2 linked regions of the Arabidopsis thaliana genome follow. The protein of the gene in region 1 purifies or fractionates together with the protein of each later gene. This does not show direct contact. Each region holds a gene or a part of one and is shown in the gene's direction. Other genes may lie near its edges.

Region 1 (8,485 bases):
CCTACTGGGGTTTTATTGATTGGTTTGATGGTTTTTTGCAGAGAGTAAGAGTAAGAGGGTGACCTTGAAGCAGAAGCATAAGGTCCTGAAAAAGGTGAAGGAGCACCACAAGAAGAAGGCAAAGGATGCTAAAAAGCTTGGCCTTCACCGTAAGCCAAGAGTAGAGAAAGACCCAGGTATACCCAATGACTGGCCTTTCAAGGAACAAGAGCTTAAAGCCCTTGAAGTTCGACGTGCCCGTGCTCTTGAGGAGATTGAACAGAAGAAAGAAGCTCGCAAAGAAAGGGTAATCTCATTCTTTTAACATTGTAACTCACAGCTATGATACATGTTCAGATATTTAGTAATCATATAACTTTAAGTTCAGGTCGAAATTCTTAAAGCTATTTCCTTTGTGTTCTGAGTTTTGATTGATTGATAAAAGATTGCATTTTTCATGTCTTGCTGTTTGATTTACTCGTATTTTGGAGTGGTGCTTGTGTTCTGATCTCTCCTAATAAATCTATTCAGGCCAAAAAGAGGAAACTTGGTTTGGTTGATGATGAGGATACCAAGACAGAAGGAGAGACCATAGAGGACTTACCTAAAGTTGTCAATGTTCGAGGTGAGTTGTTTTGGATACCTTCTTCACGCGTTTATGTGCTTTCTCTCTGCCTTTACATGCACTAATGTCTTTTGTTTCACAGATAACTCGGAGAGGGCTTTCTACAAGGAGCTAGTTAAAGTCATTGAATTGTCTGATGTCATTTTGGAGGTTCTTGATGCCCGTGATCCTCTTGGCACTCGTTGTACTGACATGGAGAGGATGGTGATGCAAGCCGGTCCCAATAAGCATCTTGTGTTGCTGCTGAACAAGATTGGTAAGTTCATATATTCAGTCTTTACTCGTGGACGTAATAAGTTGTTTGTTTACTCTGGGTGGTGTAATTAATTTTTGTAACTGATTCACTCTCTCCAGATCTTGTTCCCCGAGAGGCTGCTGAGAAATGGCTTATGTACCTTAGGGAAGAATTTCCAGCTGTTGCCTTCAAGTGTAGCACCCAGGAACAGAGATCAAACTTGGGTTGGAAATCATCTAAGGCATCAAAACCAAGCAATATGTTGCAGACGAGTGATTGTCTTGGAGCAGACACTCTTATCAAATTGTTGAAGAACTACTCAAGAAGTCATGAGGTTGGTTCCATAGTTTAAACTTTAATCATCCTACCTTAGCATCAAGTTATATCATTCAGTTTCAATTAAATCTTCCTTTGTTGTTCTTTGGCAGTTAAAAAAATCTATCACAGTTGGTATTATTGGACTGCCTAATGTCGGCAAGAGTAGTCTTATTAACAGTCTGAAGAGAGCGCATGTTGTCAATGTTGGTGCCACTCCTGGACTGACTAGATCTCTGCAAGAGGTTCACTTGGACAAAAACGTGAAGTTGCTGGATTGTCCTGGAGTTGTGATGTTGAAATCATCAGGAAATGATGCTTCCATAGCTCTCCGAAATTGTAAAAGAATCGAGAAGTTGGATGACCCAGTTAGTCCAGGTAATTGGATATAAGCTCAAGATAGAATCACACTTATTTTTGTGCTTTGTCTTTTAAAGGTTATAATCTGAGTGACCTAACTTGGAAATCTTCTGCTTTGTGAAAAAAATAGTGAAGGAAATTCTCAAGCTTTGTCCTAAAGATATGCTGGTGACTCTCTACAAAATCCCGAGCTTCGAGGCAGTTGATGATTTCCTTTACAAAGTCGCCACTGTAAGGGGTAAACTTAAAAAGGGTGGTCTTGTGGATATTGATGCTGCTGCCAGAATTGTTTTGCATGACTGGAATGAAGGTGCGGATCTTTTTTTGTTCCTCGTAAACTTGAAGCGTAAAAGCATTTTTGAAAACCAGTTTCTTAACTCATCATTGTCTCTAATATGAATGGTTATGCAGGTAAAATCCCATACTATACAATGCCGCCAAAGAGGGACCAGGGTGGACATGCAGAGTCAAAGATTGTGACTGAGCTGGCCAAGGATTTCAACATCGATGAGGTTTACAGTGGTGAATCCTCTTTCATTGGGAGCTTGAAGACGGTTAACGAATTCAACCCTGTTATTATTCCTTCAAATGGTCCTCTCAATTTCGATGAAACTATGATCGAGGTTGGTAACTTCTCTCGTGATTCCATTTGCTTGTAAATGACTCGGTCTGGATTTAATCTTTGTTTATGATGATGTATCACAAAAAAAAAAAACAGGATGAGTCTAAGACGCAGACGGAAGAGGAGGCTGAGCATGAGAGTGATGATGATGAGTCAATGGGAGGGGAGGAGGAGGAAGAGGCAGGAAAGACGAAGGAGAAATCAGAGACGGGGAGGCAGAACGTGAAGCTATACGCAGCGGAAAGCATGTTGAATACAAAGAAACAGAAAGCAGAGAAGAAGAAGAGGAAGAAAGCAAAGAAAGCAGGAGCTGATGAGGAGGATCTGATGGACGGAGATTATGATTTCAAAGTGGATTATAGGAAGAACAAAGATGGAGAAGACGAAGAATTCCAGATTGATGCTAAAATCCCAATGGCTGGACTTTTGCCTGAAGAATGAGTGATTGGAAACCACAACGTTTTTTTTTTTTTTTTTTTTTGTATTTGGCGTTTATGAGTCGGTCGGTTAAACTTTCTGATATATGTGCTTCATGAACTAGTAGTAATACTGAAGCGATTTTGATTTCTTTAATTAACGTTTCTTCTATTCCAATTCTGCTTTGCTTAACAAATATCTTAAGAACATTCAAAAATCATTGAGGTAAGTGTACTTCTTCGCCCTTCAGAAGAAAGTAATAATCTTTTACCCTTTCAGTTTCAGGTAACGAATGACGAAAACAACACCCGAGTTCAGTACATCAGATTTCTCTGTCTCTCTCTTGGAACTTCCAAACTCGACCATATCCGTCAAATTGAATTCCAAGTTGCAAATGTGAAAGCAGTTTAAACCCGTGTTGACTTTAACGCAAGTAAAGGACGTTGACTTTGTTGAGGTCCTTAAGGATAATTGATCAAAATGTTATGTGGCAGGCATGTAAGGTGTGAACCGAAAGCTTGGCTTTGCTCAAATTCAGCAAGTTCACCAAGAGAAACTAAATCAGTGAAGGAAAAAAGGTTCAAGCGAGACTCTGAGGAAGATGGCTTCGGCTACTGTTGATTTTGGGATCGGACGGATTCTTAGTGTCCTGGAAAACGAGACCTTGTTATTGTCAGGAGTCCATGGTGAGATTGATAAAATGAAGAAGGAGTTGCTGATCATGAAGTCCTTTCTTGAGGATACTCATAAACATGGTGGAAATGGATCCACAACAACAACAACTCAACTCTTCCAAACTTTTGTGGCAAACACGAGAGATTTGGCTTACCAAATCGAAGACATTCTCGACGAGTTTGGCTATCACATCCACGGTTATCGTAGCTGCGCCAAAATTTGGCGTGCGTTTCATTTCCCGAGGTATATGTGGGCGAGGCACTCGATAGCTCAAAAGCTAGGAATGGTTAATGTCATGATTCAATCCATTTCTGATTCCATGAAAAGGTACTATCATTCAGAAAACTACCAAGCAGCATTATTACCGCCTATTGATGATGGCGATGCAAAGTGGGTGAACAACATCAGTGAGTCATCTCTTTTCTTTAGTGAAAATAGTCTTGTAGGGATTGATGCACCCAAGGGAAAGCTCATCGGACGGCTTCTAAGTCCCGAACCTCAGCGGATTGTTGTCGCGGTGGTTGGGATGGGCGGTTCAGGGAAAACTACACTCTCAGCGAATATCTTCAAGTCTCAAAGTGTGCGGAGGCATTTTGAGTCTTACGCTTGGGTTACAATCTCGAAATCTTATGTGATTGAAGATGTGTTTAGGACCATGATCAAGGAGTTTTACAAAGAAGCAGATACACAGATTCCAGCTGAATTATACTCCTTAGGCTACAGAGAGTTGGTGGAAAAACTTGTGGAGTATTTGCAGTCGAAGAGGTACATTGTTGTGCTTGATGATGTATGGACCACTGGTCTATGGAGGGAGATAAGTATTGCTTTACCAGATGGTATTTATGGAAGTCGTGTTATGATGACTACTCGGGACATGAACGTGGCTTCTTTCCCATATGGAATTGGGAGCACAAAGCACGAGATTGAGCTCTTAAAAGAAGACGAAGCTTGGGTGCTTTTCTCCAACAAAGCTTTTCCGGCAAGTCTTGAGCAATGCAGAACGCAGAATTTGGAGCCGATAGCACGAAAATTAGTCGAGAGATGTCAGGGTTTGCCATTAGCTATTGCTTCTTTGGGAAGCATGATGTCAACCAAGAAGTTTGAATCAGAATGGAAGAAAGTCTACAGTACTTTAAACTGGGAACTGAACAACAATCATGAACTCAAGATTGTTCGAAGCATTATGTTCCTTAGCTTCAATGATTTGCCATACCCGCTTAAACGTTGTTTCTTATATTGTTCTCTTTTCCCTGTGAACTATCGGATGAAAAGAAAGAGGCTCATTAGGATGTGGATGGCACAAAGGTTTGTGGAACCGATCAGAGGAGTGAAAGCAGAAGAAGTGGCTGATAGTTACCTCAATGAACTTGTTTACAGAAATATGCTTCAAGTTATCTTGTGGAATCCTTTTGGACGACCCAAGGCGTTCAAGATGCATGACGTGATATGGGAGATTGCTCTATCTGTATCCAAACTTGAGAGGTTCTGTGATGTATATAATGATGACAGTGATGGTGATGATGCTGCAGAAACAATGGAGAATTACGGTAGTCGCCATTTATGCATTCAGAAAGAGATGACACCTGATAGTATACGTGCAACAAACCTTCACTCTCTTTTGGTTTGCTCTTCTGCTAAACACAAGATGGAATTACTTCCAAGTCTGAACCTTCTGAGAGCCTTAGACCTTGAAGACTCTTCCATCAGCAAGTTACCAGATTGTTTAGTAACTATGTTCAACTTAAAGTACTTGAATTTGTCCAAGACACAGGTGAAAGAACTGCCAAAAAACTTCCATAAACTCGTCAATTTGGAGACGTTGAACACAAAGCACTCCAAGATTGAGGAACTTCCTCTAGGGATGTGGAAATTGAAGAAGTTGCGATATCTCATTACTTTTCGCCGCAATGAAGGACATGATTCCAATTGGAATTATGTTTTAGGTACAAGGGTTGTTCCTAAAATCTGGCAGTTGAAGGATTTGCAAGTCATGGACTGCTTCAACGCAGAAGATGAGCTTATCAAAAATCTCGGGTGTATGACTCAGCTCACAAGAATAAGTCTTGTCATGGTTAGGAGAGAACATGGAAGAGACTTGTGCGATTCACTGAATAAGATTAAAAGAATTCGATTCTTATCTTTAACGTCGATTGATGAAGAGGAACCGTTAGAGATAGATGACCTGATCGCAACTGCAAGCATTGAGAAGCTCTTTCTTGCTGGGAAACTGGAGAGAGTACCAAGTTGGTTCAACACTCTTCAAAACCTTACCTATTTGGGTTTGCGTGGATCTCAGCTACAGGAAAACGCCATTCTCTCTATCCAAACGCTTCCTAGATTGGTATGGCTTTCATTTTACAATGCATACATGGGACCTAGGTTGCGTTTTGCACAAGGATTTCAGAATCTGAAGATTCTAGAGATAGTTCAGATGAAACATCTGACAGAAGTTGTTATAGAAGACGGTGCAATGTTTGAGCTTCAGAAGCTTTATGTCAGGGCTTGTAGAGGGTTAGAGTACGTACCAAGAGGAATTGAGAATCTTATAAATCTTCAAGAACTGCATTTGATTCATGTTTCTAATCAGTTAGTAGAACGCATTCGCGGAGAAGGGAGTGTGGACCGGTCAAGGGTTAAACACATTCCTGCGATTAAGCATTATTTCAGAACTGATAATGGCTCTTTCTATGTGAGCCTCTCATCTTAGGCGGCCAAGGCAAGCTTCATCATACAAGATACTGCACACTGTACTGTGAAAATCAGGGATGGATATTCACATAACTACTAAACGCCATGAGCTTACCAAACAGATTGATTGTCATGTGTTGTCTTTGAAAGTCAACAATCAGGTCTTCTCTTCACTCAAAGACAACATTTTTTTGCTGGTCTCATGAGTCAGTGCTAATGACTAAACAGCTCACTTCACAGCAGTTTCCACTGTTTTTTTTCGAAATTCATTTAAGTAAGATTTAATATGGTCAGCTGATTGTTCTGTAATTCTGTGTAAACATTACTTTGTTAAGACCTTAATATTGTTGACATTGTTATTTGAGTATCGGCTTCAACCAAGAAATTCCACTACCGTGTTAGTCTTCTAAATGAAAGTGGCTCATTCACAATCCCAAAAGTTAGGACCTTTACACTAATCGAAATAACCAGATACAGTTGGACTAAATACTTAATACTACTCCAAAACATTCCATTTTAAATTTCTCCTTAACTGATGGAAAAGTTTTGAAATTTTGAAAAGAAGAAAGTAAAAAAAATCTTGTTATCAACGATCCGCGGCGGTTAAAACGGAGATTATTATTGATGGATGGATATCTGGTCATTCGTGTTATCCACGTGCAACTAACGCACGTAAAAGACATACTAACCTCCCCGAAAATCGGATCCGGATCCGAAAATATCTGACCCGTTTTGAAGCGGTTTGACGAAAGACCGTTTTGGGCCTAGTCAATAGTAAAAATTAAAAACTCAAGGCTCTTTGGTGTCCCTTGGTATTACTATCGGCCTTTCCCGATGCTCTTTCTTCTTCATCTTGAAACTCGCGATTCCTTCTTCTCCTTCTAGGGTTTATTACTAAGGGTTTCTCTATCCTTAAATCTCATCTCTGTCCTTTCTTCTTCTCCAGAGCGTCGTTCACTGTTCTCTCTCTAAAACCTAGGGTTTTCGATCTTTTCATCTTCTGGTAAAATGGATAGATACCAGAGAGTCGCTAAACCGAAACCAGAGTCTCCGATTAACGAGAATGAGATCCGTATCACCAGTAAAGGCCTTATCCGAAACTACATCAGTTATGCCACCAGTCTTCTTCAGGTACTCTCTCTCTCTCTTCTACTTTGTTTCAAGTCGTTCGCTAAAATCGTGATTCACCGTCGTATATGCTCACTGGAGTGTGTAATGTTTCATTGGACTTGTGTTTCGGCTACTCTGTTGTACGGTTTTTTTGGGTCCTTTCTCTTTTCGATCATTTTGGTTTCAAATGTGTCATCATGCACCATTTTACTTTGATTTCGTTTTTTTTTTTTTTTTTTGCATTTCTGATCCTAAAAATGACTCTATTTGCGATGTGATGTACTTGAAATAATGATGATCCGTTTCTTTTGGTTTCAGGAGAAAAGTGTTAAAGACATTGTGTTGAAGGCAATGGGGCAGGCAATCAGCAAGACTGTGGCTATCTCTGAGATACTAAAAGTCAGCGTTTTTCTTCTTATGAACTTTGTGAAGTATTTATCATCTAATTGGGATTTATACAAGTAGCTGACTTTGTAATTCATACTGCAGAATAAAATCCCAGGTTTGCATCAAGATATTGCAATCAGTTCTATTAGCATTACTGATGTCTGGGAGCCTACTGAGGAGGGTTTGTTTCCGTAAGTGTCTTGCATTACTCTGTTCTTTTCTTTTGTTTTTCTGTAACCTCAAGTGAATTGTCCATATGATGCAGGGTGGAGTTGACGCGCCATGTTTCCATGATTTCAATCACATTGTCATTGAGCGAGCTAAACAAAGATTCTCCTGGGTGAGTTATACTTTTCTTCATCCTTTTGTTGGAACTTGGGAAGTCTTGATTCATAGAGTTCGTTTGCTTTGAATAATTTTATCTCAAAAGAATCATCACAGAATCATATTTTTATGGAATTTTACTTCACATGGTATCCTCGCTTCTTAAGATATAGCTACAATATAAATGCTTATAATTGTGTTCAGGTATCAAGCTCCAGCACAGTCAGATCAGTCTAAGCCTCAATATCAGCCACAACAAGGGAGACAAGCCCGCCTACCATACAATGCTTATGGTGAAGGTAATGCCTTAAACTTTCTTGACGATTTAAATCTGTCAATGTTGGTAGGTTTTATTATAACACCTTGTGATTAATTGGAATGTAGATTCGTATGGGAGAGGGAGAGGTCGTGGCAGAGGGAGAAGCAGGGGAAGAGGTGGATATGGAAACTACCAAGGGAGTTATGAAGGAAAAGACCAAGGGAACTATCAAGAAGATTATCAAGGTATTGTTTTGCCATAGAAGGCGATCATTTCGTCTAATGGTAAATATATGTTATTGTTTGTTTAGTTTGTTACTGACTTGTAGCTTTATTTTGGGATAACTAGACAATGAAGGTGGGTATTCAAACTCGGGCAGAGGCCGTGGACGTGGTGGACGAAGCTATGGCTATCGTGGTAAGTCTGAACATTGTCAATTAGTTAAACTCAGCATATTATAAGGTGTAAGGGTGATGAGACTATAATCTA
Region 2 (9,523 bases), on another chromosome or scaffold:
TCCAGATTTCTCACATATATATAACTTTTGTTTTTAAGATGAATTTGAACTTGAGTTAGTTTCTTCAAAGCTTTCCCCAATTTTTCCTTACCACTAGCCCACAACTGTTTCTTATATGGTATATCGTGTTTTTATTTTTTCAGTTTGTACTTTCGTCAAGCCTAAAGTCGTAAAATATAAATGAAGTTGTGATTTGTGAATACTTTCTAACAAGTAGGGAAATGTATTAAAAGTGGAATTTTAAGAGATTTGTGTAGAATCTATTTATGGACCTTTAGCAAAAAACAACCAAACAATGATCTGTTTATGGGTTCGAAATGGTAATAGTAGAATGAGTATAGCTCACAACGAGAATAAACGTAGATAGTCCAGTCCGAACCTAATATAAACAAAATTTGAGTAGTGAATATGATGCGAATATAACTATTAGATTTTCACTAATTTTATAACCTTTGGAATAGTCGAACTTTTATTGATTAAACTTGTATCAGTATACAAAGTTAAAATTATATTTTTTAAAGTTGTATTTCTACTGCTCTATACACCATATGTATTGTTCAAATAATTTATAAGGTAATAAATGTTAAGACCTAGGAGATCAAAAGACTCAAACTATGTCAACAACAATTCTTTTCTTCCCATGATTTTTTAAAAAGTTATATTCAAGTATTCTCGCAAATTGATAAAACAAAGGGAGACTAGTCTGCATAGATGCTCGAGTTTGCACATGTTTCTCTATTTTGTGGAAAGTAATTTGTTAATCTCAATGCCCTAATTTCTATTTATGTTTTGTTAAACTACTAGATATCTCATAATCCTTCGTTTTTCACAAAGAGTCCTCGGTACTAAAAAAATGAACTTTATATTGTACGGACAACATAGAAGAAGAATAAGCTGAAATTAGTTACCTTTTTTTCTCTGACAAAATGAACTTTATAAACAATACATAATTCATCTCTCTTAAATTTCCAAAATCTAAGAGATCCGTTTTATTCTAAACTTTGATTTATAATTTAAGAGATTTAAAGTTTGATCAATTTTTTTTTGTTGCGTCTAAAAATCTCTAAACATCGAAGGATGGAGACTGAATTGTGGTCCGTTAAAAATTGGTATTTGTAAACAAGAAAACAACATTACGTAAATTGTAATTCATAAATTTGCGTGCTTTGTGCTTGTCTACCTCCACACCGGCTTACGATGAACCACACTCTTTTTAATATTCAAGACTTCTATATAATCATTATATCGTATATTCATATATATATATATATATATATTATATAAATAAATATTCTTTTCTGTTTTCTGTGTTACTAACTTTTATTATATAGAGAGAGATATTCAATTATACCCAATACAAGCCTATATAATTATCAAAATTAAGTGGTTTTTTATTTACCAATTTGAATTCTCTAGATATCTTACATACGAGGATGTGCTTTTAGTCAAATGGACTTAACCATTTGATTCCGCCTTCTCCACCGGAATTCGATTTCACTAAGTTGCGTTATCCCGCAATCCCGCATAGTAGGGATTGAGTATTGATCGGGTCTTGTCGATACAAAGATGTAAAAAAAAAAATTTTACATAGTCTTTTTTTTCTGTTCTTATTCTTTTTTTTGGGGGTAAATATCTGTTATTGAACATTATAATTCAAACACTTCCAAAACTTTTTTTACCTTGTTCTGATATTGATGCAGCGTATCTTGAAGACAAATGCTCCTCCGGTATTCATCACGTCCGAGGAGATTGTTTATTGCTTTACTTTTGGGTTTAGTTTCATATGGACTTAATTAATGTATATTTGGGCTTTGAATATTTGATATTAGTTTGCTTATTCTTTAGGCTAGGGTTTCCATTCTTTTTCTCTTATTTTAAGAGATGTAATTCATTATTGTAATTAGTTTTTGATTATTGAATAAACGAGTTTTAAGAGAGCTTGTCTAAAGCCTAGAGAGGAGGACTCTCAACCCTAAAAGCTTGTGTTCAAGCCCTGCAAGGAGGATTTGCAAAACCTCATCGATATCGTTATCGATCTCGACCTTATCTCTATTGCTTCTTCATCAAGTTTCGGCGTTCTAAACAAAATCCGTTCGTTAATCCGAGTTCTCATAGAGATTTTGTGTTTTCGTCCGTTATTTAGCTTCCGCTCTCCATCAGATATTACTTTTGTTCAGTAGACCATTCATAAATACCTGCCTTGGATCCAAAAATAGGACAAATAAACATCATTTGCATCATTTTATTATTCTTAAAAGAAATTGCAAATTTTTGACCAAATTGCAAATATTTTGTTTTTAGGTTATACCCAATACCCACATACTGTATTATAGTCGTAATAAAAAAAGGAAAAGTTGCAAAATAAGTAGAGGACAGTGAGAAGTTGGTAACTATATATGTTTTGGTTAATTTAGTTATGGGTATGGAGTCTATAACGTATGGTTTCGATATTTCCAATAATTAGCAATCGTGTATCTTCGTTAGCATCAACATTGTTGTATTTTATTTAGTGCACACCTTCTCATAATTTCTAAATCAATAAAATTTTAATATCATTTTATCTTGGTATATGTCACTATGTATGTGGTTATTTTTATGCTTCCATGTTTTTATTTTTTTTGCCATGGAACCATTAGCTTAGGTTGAAAATCATCGATTGTAAACCTATCATGTTTTCATTTTTATGAAATATTAGGTGATCATCCGCGCTACACCACGGTTTTTTCGGATGTTTTTGTATTGTTTAATTTAAATATAATTTTTATTTATCTTATCATTTACTCATGCAATAAGCAATTACATTTAGTATTAAAATATTTTTTTCTAACCACATTCTCAACAATGCATCATACACATAATTTCTAAACAATGTTTATCTTAAACCAATTTAACAGAGGGTAGTGTTGGATTCTATAAACCTAAGAATTTAATGATGGAGCTCCTTACATATTCTTCACCCTCAGTTATTTATTATATAAATATCAATTTAAGAGAATATAAACATCAATTTAAGAGAATATAAACATCAATTTAAGAGAATAACTTAGTTAAATTATTAAGTAATATACTCATACTTTGAGTTTGGATTACCATAAAAATCTTCGAGTATGAGAAAACTATTAAAATGATTTTATTAAAAAATCATGTGATATTAAAATAAATTTAGTAAAAGTACAATTAAATATGTATAATAAAATAATATGTAAAATTAAATATAAATATATCATTAAACTATAGATTTGAAATTGAAGAGATTACATTAATTATTTAATAAACACATGTCAAATGCTAAAGTGATGATGTGTCTATCATATGAAGAGAGTTGGCCAACTTTCATATATATAATTTACGAAAAAAAAAAAAAAAAACAAATATTCAAGATCTCTTTCTTGATATGGGCCAATTTGATACGAAACATTTTCCAGCCATAACCTTTCGTTTTACTTTATACGGGCTATAGGCCCATTATGGGTTAACGTGTAGGCCCAATAAGGTGTTTTTTCAATTTGGTTTGCATTTGGTGTGTGTGTGTGTGTCAGCTACAATTTCTCAAGGAGAGGCGCGTGTAAATCAAACGGATAATCCTACGGTTTTGATGAAATGGCTTCTCGTAGACCTCACAATCTCTAAACATCTCTTCTCTTTATACGCTCTTCTTCTAGAAACCTCTCTTACCTCACTCTCCTTAAACCTTTAATAGGGTTTTTAGGTTACTCTTTGTTCAACTACTACAAACTCTTTTCTCTTTAGAGATTGAGAGATTGTAAAAAAATCTCAAATCTTTTCCTTCACAACTTTCAAATCTAATGGCTCCTGCTTTGAGTAGAAGTCTCTACACATCTCCTTTGACTTCAGTTCCAATCACTCCTGTCTCTTCTCGTCTCTCTCATCTGAGAAGCTCGTTTCTCCCACACGGCGGCGCTTTAAGAACCGGCGTTTCGTGTAGCTGGAATCTCGAAAAGAGATGTAACCGATTCGCCGTGAAGTGTGACGCCGCCGTGGCGGAGAAAGAGACCACTGAAGAAGGGTCAGGTGAGAAGTTTGAGTACCAAGCTGAGGTGGGTTCTCTTTCATATCTCCTAAAGTTTCAATCTTGTTTTCTGGGTATCTCTCAACTTGATGGGGATATAAAGTTTTAAGATTTGATTGTTGAAATCTTATCACAGGTTAGTAGATTGTTGGATTTGATTGTTCATAGCTTATACAGTCACAAGGAGGTGTTTCTCAGGGAGCTTGTAAGGTGAGTCAATTTTGATGGATTGTTTTGGAAATGATTTGTGTGTTTCTGTCAAAATCTGATTTTGAATGTGTCTGTGTATGTTCAGTAATGCAAGTGATGCTTTGGATAAGCTGAGGTTCTTGAGTGTAACAGAGCCTTCTTTGCTTGGAGATGGTGGAGATCTTGAGATTAGGATTAAGCCTGATCCTGATAACGGCACCATCACCATAACGTATGAGAGACTTCTCATTTTTTGTTTTACTTAAGTATTGAAAATTGAATAGAACAGGTTTACTTAGAGAGGTTTGATGCGTATATGCAGTGATACTGGTATTGGAATGACAAAGGAAGAACTTATTGATTGCCTTGGAACTATTGCTCAAAGTGGTACTTCGAAATTCTTGAAGGCTCTAAAGGTTTTTTTTCCATCTCTTTGAAAACCTGTTGCTAGCAAATCTTTGATGTCATGTTTTCGGACTCATTGTTTTATTGCTCTCTTTATTCAGGAAAACAAGGACCTTGGTGCTGACAACGGTTTGATCGGACAGTTTGGTGTTGGGTTTTACTCTGCTTTCTTAGTTGCTGAGAAGGTGAAGACTTTCAACTTTTGTTTTTTAGTGTCTTCTGGTTAATGTATTTCTTACGAGGAATGGACGTACAATTGTCTTTGCTTTCAGGTTGTTGTGTCCACCAAAAGCCCCAAATCTGACAAGCAATATGTTTGGGAATCGGTTGCCGATAGTAGCTCGTATCTGATCAGAGAAGAAACAGACCCTGATAACATTCTACGTCGTGGAACACAAATCACCTTGTATCTGAGGGTACTTTTCTTTATTCATTCATCCTTTCATTTGATGCGTCAGATCTCTTATAGTTTGTTTGACTGCTTATTCCTGGCTGCAGGAGGATGATAAATACGAATTTGCGGAGTCTACAAGGATCAAGAACCTCGTGAAGAATTACTCTCAGTTCGTTGGGTTTCCTATCTATACATGGCAGGAGAAATCAAGGACTATAGAGGTGAGGATGAAAGTTTTGTTTTTGTAATCATATTAGTGTATTCACATTGCTAATATGGTTTAAAATTTGTAACTTGTGGTAGGTCGAAGAGGACGAACCAGTTAAGGAAGGAGAAGAGGTAAAAAAATTATGTTGTTTTAATTGTGTGTATCAACTATCAAACAGTCACAACCAAAAGACTGTTCTAGAATTTTGTTTACTGAGTTGATTTTGTTACTTGTTTGTTTCCAGGGTGAGCCAAAGAAAAAGAAGACCACTAAAACTGAGAAGTATTGGGATTGGGAACTAGCCAACGAGACCAAACCGCTATGGGTAAGCCTTGGAGCTTTAGCCTGCGTTTTGTACTTTTCTTTCAACATGTTTACTGATTATTTTGTGTCTTTGAATAGATGCGCAATTCGAAGGAAGTGGAAAAAGGAGAGTACAATGAGTTCTACAAAAAGGCTTTCAATGAGTTCTTGGATCCACTTGCTCACACACACTTCACAACTGAGGTCTTTATACTTATACACTATACACTATATTTATGTCAATTTATGAATTCTTCAATTGGTGCTTACTAGTCTCTGTATTGTCTTGATTATTAAAGGGTGAGGTTGAGTTCAGGAGCATTTTGTACATCCCTGGGATGGGTCCTCTTAACAATGAAGATGTTACAAACCCGAAAACAAAGAACATTCGTCTCTACGTGAAGCGTGTGTTTATCTCTGACGATTTTGATGGAGAGCTTGTGAGTCTTTTATGGGTTCTTTCTTATGTAGAAATCTCTTTAGATTTGTGGTTCAATTTTTATCTGACTATGTTACCTAATCTGTTTGCAGTTCCCGAGATATCTGAGCTTTGTGAAGGGAGTTGTGGACTCTGATGATCTTCCTCTTAATGTTTCTCGTGAAATTCTCCAAGAAAGCAGAATTGTGAGTGGTGCAACTGTTAGTGATACAAATGTTTATCATATATGAATATCACAAATTGTAACTGTACTATCTTTCGTGATAATGTTCAGGTAAGAATCATGAGAAAGAGGCTCATTAGAAAAACCTTTGACATGATACAAGAAATCTCTGAGAGTGAAAACAAAGAGGTAGGTATCTCATTATCCTAATTTTGTTTTGAGCTCATTTGAAAGCCAGGGATATTCATGTTGTACAAACAATTCTAGGATTACAAGAAATTCTGGGAGAACTTTGGTAGATTCCTTAAATTGGGTTGTATTGAAGACACCGGTAACCACAAGCGTATCACACCGCTACTTAGATTCTTCAGTTCCAAGAATGAAGAGGAATTGACAAGCTTGGATGATTATATCGAGAACATGGGAGAGAACCAAAAGGCGATCTACTACCTCGCAACTGATAGTCTTAAAAGTGCCAAGTCTGCCCCTTTCTTGGAGAAACTAATCCAAAAAGATATCGAGGTATATGCTTCAAGACTTGTTTTTCAACTTCGAGTTTCTGTTTAGATTTGACTTTCTCACCACTTGCTTTTGTTAATTATAGGTTCTATATTTGGTTGAACCAATCGATGAAGTTGCTATTCAGAATTTGCAAACCTACAAAGAAAAGAAATTCGTTGATATCAGTAAAGAAGATTTGGAACTCGGTAAGTATGGTTTAGCACTGCTGACTGCCCGCACATTTCTCTCAACCATTTGTTTGTAACAAAACGTGTCCATTCTCGCAGGAGATGAAGATGAAGTAAAGGACAGGGAAGCGAAACAAGAGTTTAACCTTCTCTGTGACTGGATAAAACAGCAGCTCGGTGACAAAGTTGCAAAAGTCCAAGTCTCAAACCGTTTGAGCTCTTCTCCTTGTGTGCTTGTCTCTGGCAAATTCGGGTGGTCAGCTAATATGGAAAGGTTAGTACTTCAGCAAAAGCTTTATAACCTGAAATCCACATACCATAAAACTTATGTGCTTGTTCATTGACTTATGTGCTTATTCATTGTGAAAGGCTAATGAAGGCACAGGCTCTTGGAGACACTTCAAGCCTGGAGTTCATGAGAGGTAGGAGAATACTAGAGATCAATCCAGATCATCCCATCATCAAAGACTTGAACGTAAGTGTGTGGTATAATATTCTCTCAGAAATCTCTTGTCTCGAAAAAGCCTTATTAATTTTTGTATTCTTTTGGTACAGGCTGCTTGTAAGAATGCACCAGAGAGCACTGAAGCAACAAGAGTGGTCGATCTCTTGTATGACACTGCTATAATATCAAGTGGATTCACTGTAAGAAATCTGAAACCTTTCTTGTTTCCCAGTAAAAGTCTTGGACCATTTTACTCACTTATATGTGTTTGTTGTACAGCCTGATAGCCCGGCCGAGCTCGGGAACAAGATATATGAGATGATGGCAATGGCGGTTGGAGGAAGATGGGGCAGAGTTGAAGAAGAAGAAGAAAGCTCGACTGTGAATGAAGGAGATGACAAAAGCGGAGAAACAGAGGTAGTTGAACCATCTGAAGTGAGGGCAGAGAGTGATCCTTGGCAAGATTGATCCTTTTTTACCTTCTTTTGTTTGCAGTGATTTTTTTTTGACAGAACGCTTTATCTTTCCATTAGCAGTATCATGGGCCTAATGAAAGCCCATAATTAAATCACGCGTGAACGAGATTTATCCAATACAGTATTTGTAGTTTTTTTTTGATAATTAAAATAATTTTAGAGAATTTACACAAAAAAAGCTTTTAACAAAAATATTTACGAATATTTGAAAAATATTTGCATTTGAGTTGTATTAAATATTCTGAATTTACATCCTCTTATTATTAAAAAGAAAATACAAATTGAAAAATAGTCTAATCTGCCATCAATTTTCAATTTTGGATTTTGTACATTATTAATCAAAATCGTCTATGGTAATTTGGTCATCACTCTATATTCCTTAAATACACTATATTTCAAATTTAAATAATATTTCTTAAACACACTATATTCAATACTTATCACCTATTTATTGTTTTTTCAAAGATTTAAAAAAACTAAATATAAAAAATCAATCTAAAATAAACCAAAAATATAGTTATTAATTTTACATATTTTTTATTAAAAATATTATGTTGGCAAACAATATTAAGAGCTCGCGAATTAATTAGTGGAGCGGATTAGAATTTACAATAATTCATAATTATGCATATGGAATAAATTATATTTAAAAATCAATATTCGATATATCAAAATATGGTACAATCACACATTTTCCGGATATTATTTAAACTAATAATCTTAACGGTCCATTAAAACTTTCCAAATCAAAATGATTTCCAAATCAATCATTTGATGGAAAATTTCTTGGTCAAAATTTAAATCAAATACCGACCTGCAATAATGGGTTAGAATTTGTATTTATTTGATAGAGAATGAGTAAAATGGAATTGTTAATGACCTTGGACATATCTAAATTTATAATTACAATACTAATTTGGACGTAACACGAGTTAAACTAAATTATATAATTCTAATACTATTTTGACAACTGTACAAATAAAAAAATCTCCCGCGGTAAACCGCAAGTTTAATCCTAGTATTATTTATTTGGTAATACTTTAGTAGAGCAATTCTGATTTTTACTTGTTTGATGTATAGAAAATGTATAAATATAAGAAAATTCTGGTTACATAAATTTTGGATTTTTATAATGTTGGAACAATCGTTAACCAAACAATTAGAAAAAAAACTAATTAATTTCCGTTGAGATAATTATACTTTCATAAAATAAAAAGGAAATTAAGAAAAAAAAGAAACTTTACTTTTCCTAATAGTAAAATTGTAACACTGTAAAACCATCAAAATCCTATTAGAAAAATAAATTACCTAACTCGCATCCTCTATAAATACAGTAGAAACTCTATAAATTAATAATGTTGGGACCATAAAATTTAATTAATTTATAGTGATATTAATTTATCCTATAAATTAATATTTATTAATTTATAGGATAAAATAATAAATATTAATTTATAGAAATATTTACGTAAAATACAATACTAAAGTCTTTTAAAAATGTTTATTAATTTAGTTTTTCTTATGTTTTGTTGTTTGTATATTCAATTCTGTTAAAAAAATTATTTTTCTCTTGACTTTTTAATTTATTTTTCTACAATATATTGTGTCCGTATATTTACGACGTTAACGTGAGGCTTAATCCAAATTTTCTTTATCCAAATCTTACCAATGATTAAAAAATGTTACAAAACCAAATATGACGGATAAAATGCGCAAAGAGTTACGTGAGTACAAAAGAGATCATACCAACGGTACTCTAAAGAGAGTTGTAATTGTGACTTG

Evidence for each region.
Region 2: the proteins of RPM1 (region 1) and CR88 purify together in Arabidopsis thaliana (affinity purification with western blotting, with the first as the bait; one study listed by BioGRID). This does not show direct contact.

The regions. Positions count from the first base shown.
Region 1 is NC_003074.8:2,223,694-2,232,178, reverse strand, and holds RPM1 (NB-ARC domain-containing disease resistance protein), read left to right. Parts: upstream 1-2,623; 5' UTR 2,624-3,154; coding exon 3,155-5,935; 3' UTR 5,936-6,324; downstream 6,325-8,485. Other genes in the region: NSN1 (GTP-binding family protein), read left to right, coding at 42-286, 511-604, 687-860, 959-1,173, 1,268-1,532, 1,645-1,824, 1,926-2,137, 2,233-2,577; AT3G07030 (Alba DNA/RNA-binding protein), read left to right, coding at 6,925-7,047, 7,345-7,425, 7,516-7,604, 7,679-7,753, 7,942-8,036, 8,135-8,241, 8,345-8,413.
Region 2 is NC_003071.7:1,278,177-1,287,699, forward strand, and holds CR88 (Chaperone protein htpG family protein), read left to right. Parts: upstream 1-3,577; 5' UTR 3,578-3,806; coding exon 3,807-4,058; intron 4,059-4,166; coding exon 4,167-4,240; intron 4,241-4,325; coding exon 4,326-4,451; intron 4,452-4,541; coding exon 4,542-4,635; intron 4,636-4,725; coding exon 4,726-4,809; intron 4,810-4,896; coding exon 4,897-5,040; intron 5,041-5,122; coding exon 5,123-5,239; intron 5,240-5,321; coding exon 5,322-5,357; intron 5,358-5,470; coding exon 5,471-5,551; intron 5,552-5,628; coding exon 5,629-5,733; intron 5,734-5,828; coding exon 5,829-5,969; intron 5,970-6,060; coding exon 6,061-6,153; intron 6,154-6,242; coding exon 6,243-6,320; intron 6,321-6,398; coding exon 6,399-6,653; intron 6,654-6,735; coding exon 6,736-6,838; intron 6,839-6,919; coding exon 6,920-7,094; intron 7,095-7,189; coding exon 7,190-7,295; intron 7,296-7,375; coding exon 7,376-7,465; intron 7,466-7,544; coding exon 7,545-7,733; 3' UTR 7,734-7,968; and 1 more. UniProt on the Arabidopsis thaliana protein: Molecular chaperone required for chloroplast biogenesis. Essential for chloroplast biogenesis and maintenance, and thus for embryogenesis. May be involved in the disassembly of VIPP1 for thylakoid membrane formation and/or maintenance.